Cricetulus griseus: one gene and its partner. The protein of the gene in region 2 purifies or fractionates together with the protein of the main gene of each other region. This does not show direct contact. Links are inferred from orthologs where the notes say so. Each region holds a gene or a part of one and is shown on either strand. Other genes may lie near its edges.

Evidence for each region.
Region 1: the proteins of Xpo6 (region 2) and Zmat2 purify together in Homo sapiens (co-immunoprecipitation; 3 studies listed by BioGRID and IntAct, with this or other methods). This does not show direct contact. The link is inferred for Cricetulus griseus from reciprocal best matches to the Homo sapiens genes XPO6 and ZMAT2.

What each region holds. Positions count from the first base shown.
Region 1 is NC_048595.1:200,730,834-200,734,213, forward strand, and holds the end of Zmat2 (zinc finger matrin-type protein 2), read right to left. Parts: intron 3,121-3,380; coding exon 3,047-3,120; intron 2,644-3,046; coding exon 2,498-2,643; intron 1,540-2,497; coding exon 1,396-1,539; 3' UTR 528-1,395; downstream 1-527. UniProt on the Homo sapiens protein: Involved in pre-mRNA splicing as a component of the spliceosome.
Region 2 is NC_048596.1:74,657,330-74,661,147, reverse strand, and holds part of Xpo6 (exportin-6), read right to left. Parts: intron 2,482-3,818; coding exon 2,028-2,481; intron 1-2,027. UniProt on the Homo sapiens protein: Mediates the nuclear export of actin and profilin-actin complexes in somatic cells.

The DNA of each region.
Region 1 (3,380 bases), on a different chromosome or scaffold from region 2:
CACAAATTGAATGGAAGGGAGTGCTACAGACATCTACTTAGGTGGAGGCCAGGGATGTTGCTCCACATCCTACAGTACATAGAACAGACCTGGCCAGTCATGGAGGCACAAACCTTTAATCCCAGCATTGAACAGGCTGAGGTAGGTGGATCTCCGAGTTCAAGGCCAGACAAGTTAAGACCCTGTCTCAAAAATACAAAACAAAAACCTCAAAGACTTACCTTGCTCATCGTCAACAGTACCAAGACTGAGTAACCCAGCGCCTGCCCAACTGCAGACAGTTAGGTTCAACCCTGAGCATTTCTGGTAGAATCAGAGGATGCTAAAATTACAGGAGGCCAAACTGTTTTGTTCAGACTGTCAAGGGGACAGATCCTATTAACACAGGGGGAAACCCACATTGAAGAAACCTATACTGGAAGGGGAGGGGAGAGGTTTCAAATGAAAGGGAAAGGCTCTATGTAGAAATCCTTACTTAGTATAGGAAGTTGTGGGAAAGGGGATGATATGAAAATGTTCCCAACGAATGTGAAACAGGCCCAGTCAGTGTCATTTATTGTACATGTTGAACAGTGTCTGAGAACCAAGGTTTCCCAGAGTTTGTTTGGTTTTAGGGTTCTTTTGTCTTGTTGTTTTCATTCTTTTTTTGCATCAAACAGGTTCTTCCAAGAACCTGTTCCCGAGGAAGACAAAAACAGAAATCCTCAGTGAAACAAGGTTAAAAACTCACCAGACACAAGCAACACCAAACACTCATCCCATTTAATTTCCTGTTACATGCACCAAGGAAACCAAGAACATTAGGCCCCAGGGCAGCAATGCTCTGAGATTCTAGCTCAGGCCCCTCTTTGTGACGTATCATGCACACATACCCACACACACATTGACCCAGGCAGAAGTCACAGGCATGCACAGGTGGCTAGAGAGCCGCTGGGTGGGGTGGGAGGAAGAGCTGACCAAGGGTAGGCCAGCACCCATATACTGGAGACCCAGATAACCCTTCTGTTGCAAGCTGAACAAGAGTAAAGATTAAAACAAAAGCAGAACACAGGGAAAAGGAGGATGTTCAGACAAGAGGCTGGATAGATGAAGAGGGAAAGATGCAGGGGAAGTTGGGAAAGCAGCCTCAAAGAGGGAGGTCTTTCTTTATTGGGAACACAGATGGGCAGAGGTTCTGTGGCTCCAGTAATATACTGAGGCTGACGGAACCTGCCACAGCATCACCTCTTCATCCCCAAGGAAGAGGGAAACCACAAAAACCCACCCTCTAGCCCTGCCCATTAACACTCTTAAGGACTTTCTCCAGTACCAAAAAAGAAATGACACCCCACCCCACCTCGACACACACTCAAAGTTAGGTCCAGTATAGGCCAAAGTTAGGCCAAAGAGAATGCCTCAGTAACTCTTCTTGGTGGAACCAAAGCCAGAGAAGCCCATCACAGCTGCCATCTCGTCATCCTCCTCAAATGTCAAGTCCTCCTCCGCCCTCCTTTTCTTCTCCTTCTGTTTCTCTTTCTTGTATGCTTTAGCCTTTTCCTCCTAAAGGGCAAAGGAGAAAAAATTACTCAGAATCAGTTCATTCCAGAGCTGATATTGTTGAAAGAGATATGTGAGCTTCAAGATTCTTTTCCATCGTTAAGCACGATAAAAGCCACAAGTAAAGATTAAAAGGTCAGTGATAAAGCACTTGTTCAGCTTGTATGAGCCCCTGAGACTGATTCCCAGGACAGCAATGGGGGTAGATTGTAAGAAAAGATTTTAAGGGATAAGAAGAAATTAAGTCTCTGGAGTTTAATTATACACCCTAGTTCATCTCTAGTTCTAACCAGAAAACATCATGGGGCATGCAGCGTATGCTAAGATCTGTTCTCAGTTCTGTGTAAATATTATTCAAAGATTTCCCATGCAGAAAATGAAGTACACTGAGGTTATTCAACTTCCCCAGAATTGATGCAAACAAATGGAAGAAAAAGGATTCTGACCCTATAACCTGGAGCCATAGGCCAACTAGGGACTAGTTCCATTTATTTAGTCCCTCTTATAGTTTAAAAAGGAATAAGAAGTACAGGGGACATTATATGTGCATTCATGGGGATACAATGGCATTGGGAAGTAAACCAAATAAGCCAGGCGGTGGTGGCACAGGCCTTTAATCCTAGCACTTGGGAAGCAGAGGCAGGTGGATCTTTGTGAGTTTGAGGCCAGGCTGGTCTACAAAGTGAGTTCCAGGATAGCCAGGGCTACACTGAGAAACCCTGTCTCCAAAAACTAAAACAAACAAACAAACAAAAGAATAATCGCAAAGCACTCTGGTCTAAAAAGCTAAAGAGAAATGGATAGCTTTTGAGCCATTTCTCATGAACCTCAAACAAGGATGCCCTAGTACACAGAAATCCAGGAACAAGACTGGAGATTGGGGAGCCAGCCAAGGAAGAGGGCCATCTCCAATTCACAAGGTAAAACTGTAAAGTGGGGAGCAGGATCAGGAGAGTCTCACCTCTTCTCTGAGTTCCTTCATCCTTTCCTCAAAATCATAATCTTTCTGCTTCTCTTCCATCTTCTTCTTGTTGACCTCAAAACGCTTCTTTACCTGATCCAGAGTGGAGCGTTCCACGCGCATAGACATACCCAGGTTTCGCTGATCTGGGTGAGGTTAATAGTGAGGGCAACCAGTCATTATAAAATTCTCAGCCCCTCAAAAAGTCTGGTCCTGGCTTTTTTTTCCCCCCTTTAACCTTTACATAATAAAATACACAACAAAAGTAACTATGACTGAAAGAGGCTCTGGGTCTCAGCTGCTCTCAGAAGTGGCAGTCCCAGATAATAAGCACGTAATTTTCAGCTGCATTTACTACAAAGATTATCAGCTAACCTCTCCTCTAGCCTCTGTGTTACATACTCAGCAATACAGATATGTAAACACACACACACACACACACACACACACACACACACAGCCTAAGAAAACCACTCTACCACATTTCCCCTCCACCAGACCTTTAAAACCCAATCCTAGCTCCAGTCATGAACTACCTCCAAGTCTTACGTTTCTTTCCATTAATGTGATCCAGGAAGTTGATGGAGTCCTTCACCACACAGTCACAGACATTGCAGTAATAGCTGACAAATGGGAAGAAACAGCACATGGGTCAATCTGGTTTTTAAGGATCTTACTGTTTTCAGTGAAGAAACTCAAATTTTTGGTAAACTTGTATGAAGTCTGTTTTGTTAATCGAGACATTAACTGGTCTGGAACTCACTCAGATTTACAGAGCTCATCCTGCCCCTTAAGTGCTAGAATTACAATGTGTGTGTGTGTACCACAGGCCTGGTTTTTTGGTTGTGTTTTTTTTGTTGTTGTTGTTGTTGTTTTGGGAGTT
Region 2 (3,818 bases):
CGAGTCTATTTTACTCTTCATCCCACACTGAAAAAAGCAAGCTAGGTATGGGGACTCATGCTGTTAATCCTAGAAACCCAGTAAAGCTAGGTTAGGAAGGATGCCACAAGTTCAAGCCTAGGCAGGCTGAGCTACACAGCAAATTCCAGGCCAACCAGAGTACTGAGACCTTGTCCAAAAAGAGGGGGAGGGGGGTTACCACCCAAAGAAGAACAAAGCTTACTGTACAGCTAGAGATGTGCCTGCACCTCATTTTTCCCCCTTGCCCACCTTCCTGGTACAGATGCTAATGAACAGTAAACAGTTAGAAAGGGTGTGAAGGAAGAGAAGCCAAGGACCTGGTTAAGCAGTTCCTAAACAACTGACATGAACTAAGTGGCTTATAATTAGTCGGGGTCAGGCGCTAGGAAGCAAGCACACACTGTTCTTTCACCTTTTTGCTTCCTCTGAGGCACCTCTCAGTTTTCACTTCGGATCCAGGACAAGTCAAAACAACACAGTTGATATAAGAAGTTATATACATTTTATTAACATATGAAGATAAGATGGCCTTTCTTTATCAATGCTAGAAAGGATATGAAATTGTGTGAATTGTGAGACATTTAAATTCAAATAGGAAGGTACAACTACATAATGAGGGGAAAATACTACCTGGGGTAGAGAGATGGCTCAGATAAAGGCACTTACTGCCAAAACTAAAGATCCAAGTGCAATCCCAGGGACTCACATAGTAGAAAAGAAAACCAATTCCAGCAATTCTGACCTTTACACACAACATGGCATGTGCCCCCACCCAACCACAAAATAAATAAATGTAACAAACAAAATTTTTATTAAGAAAAGATCCTATTAGATTATGAGTACTTTTGTGACTATAAAAGGCAAATGTCACACAAAGCTTATTTACAATGAACCAAACCAAACTAACCTTCACTCAATTTCTAACCAGAAAAACTTCAAGCTCCACACTTCAAAAGAGCAGTAGAACTATCCTGACTTGCGGCAGCTGACTCCATAGCCTACCACACTTACTGTGAACAAAGCCAAGAGCTAAGCTCTCATCTCACTTTGCACTAGGAAGTCTACAACTATTTTCTAATATAATGCACTGCATCTGCTTTGAAGCTTCAACAGCCCAATGACTGCCAGAACTACAAGCTGCCAGTTGCCTTTCACCTTTATATAGCAGTAGTAGGGTTGTGTTTAGCAAAGAAGGCCGAGGTTGTGGTCAGTGGCAGGATGACCTGCCTGCCAGGCACAAGGTCCTGGGTCCCACCCTAGCACCACTGGGGATGGAGGGGAGAAGCAGAAAGCCCTAAGATAAACAGATAATGTCACCTGCAAAGGTAATAAAGAAACCTTGACTTGGCCTACTTCACCGAGGTCATCTTCTGTACTCAAGAAAAATGGGCCTGGGGAATTTTAGGTCAAGAGGGCAGAAGCCAAGCAATGCAAGTATGTGCCACTAAATCATACCTACCCGAACATATCTCTTATCTTGGATCAACTGCTATCATTTATGTGACACTCACAATACTAACATTTATGTGTCACTCATAATACTAATAGCATTCCTATACTCTGCAAGATGTCCACTCAGGAAAAGTTCAATAGTGAAAACCAACAAGCAGTACCAAGTGAGAAGGGTGATGTAACCCTGTACCTCTGCAGACCGCTTCTGTTCTCGACTATGAAGTAGCAGCACTCTCACTTCCTGCACACATGAGACCTGCAGGCAGACAGTGAGGAAGAGGGACAGGAGCATGGACAGGAGGACAGGAGGTGGGTGGATGGGGAAAAGAGACAACAGGCCTACACAATACACTAGTACTTATTACACTCAGTTCATTTCCCTTAACCACCCAAGCCCTTCTAGGTCAGCCTCACCATTTTAGAACACCTACCTTTCTATCTTTATCAGTAGCCCCACACTCTGAAATCAAAGGGGGGTTACAAACACCAAATGACATGGTGTGACAAACAGCCAGGCCCTTTCTCGGGGCACGACTCCCGCCTGTTCTCATTACCTCTCATCGAGCTCCTCTAGCCTGCTCTTCACCGTGTGGGCATTGTTATCCTTGGTGATTTTTTGCAGGAGGTAGAAGGTTTGCTGGAACATTCGTAATAAGTACTCCTCAAATTCCATAGGCACACAGTTCTTGGACATGAGTTCATTGATGCAGGACATGGCCAAGACCCCAAGTCGGCCACGCTCCTGACCCAAAACACAGTTCTGGCTGCTGCCATTCACTGATGCCATCTTTCTGGCCCGGGTATCACAGCCAAATCGAGCAAAGTGGAAGATAGTGGTGAGGAGGGATGGGGTGATGCTGGCAGACAGAGGAATCCAACTGAAGAGGTGGGCCAGGCACTCCAAGGCCAGGGAACAGACATACTCACTCTCCACATCCAGCACAGGGATAGGCTGGGGCAGCAGTTTGGCTGAACTAGGACTCTGCAACAGGTTACTCAGTAAATCACCTGGAAATTCAAAACATGCTTTACCATACCCAGTACCAAACTTCTTGAAAACACTGCAATGAATTCTCCTTTCCCCCAAACACTTTCATCACTATAAAAGTGATACCTAAAACCAATGTGCTCTATATTCAATACCAACTACAGATAATACCAAATGCCAAATATAAAATATATATATATATATATTGAAATGCTCAAGTGAGTTACAAACTTAAACCAAAGACAAAGCTTCATAATTATGAAAAACAACAAAAAACGAGAATCTGGCCATGATGAGAGGAAGATTTATTGATACAATCAAATCACAAACCTTGACAAAAATACTGATGAGTTTAGCAACACATTACCAAATAAGAGTTTCTCACTGATGAAAAGGATTGTAACCAGAAAAATAGTGGAGTATAAGAAGCCACAATTCCTAACACTGAAATTTCAAACCTGAAAAAGAACTGTTGCCTACCACTGGAAGCATCCAGATATACAAACAGGTGGTAGGTATGAAAAAGCGATTTTCTAAAGAAATGCAAAAGGTCAGCTGGCTTATCAGGCTATGTCAAGCTGAGTCATTAGAAATGCAATCTAACAGGGGACCACGGGGAAAAAAAAAAAAAGGCTATTGGCAAATATCACACAGGGCAAGAGAAGCTGCAGGAATGCTCACTTAGCTCTGCTAGTCTCTGCCATTCTGGAACCCTGTTACCACTCCTTCTGTCAAATGACTGTTCTCTTCCTAGCACATTCCACGCAACCCTCACACAGATTTATGGGGACAGATGGAGGCTCTTGTATAGGGGCAGCCTGAGGCAATCCAGGCTCCTCGGTGAAGTCAGAAGACCAGCAAGACACTAAGGACATATGCTTCATACAGCAAGCAAGCAGAGGTCATACAACAGGAGAGAAAACAAAAAGAATAGTGTTGAATGAAAGGCCAGCATCAGAACACAACACTACCACATTATTTACAGAGTGAAATATATGGATACCAATCAGTTTTCACAAAAGGCCATACATTATATGCATTTCTGTCTGTTATGGGAAAGAGGGAGTAAGAGAATAGGTTTGAAAGTAAAGAAAACACGCACACACACACACACACACACACACACACACACACACACACACACAGATGAAGTGGCATACAATGACTCAGAAAGTAACTGTCCTTTCTGCCAAGTCTGACAATCTAAGTTCAATAACTGGAATCCACATAGGGGAAGGACAGAAACAAAATTATCCTCTGGCTGATGAGACAGACAGAGACATACAGACAGAGACCAAGACACAAAAACACAGAAACAGAGGGAATAAGTGTTTACAAAGAAGGAGGAAAGAAGGAA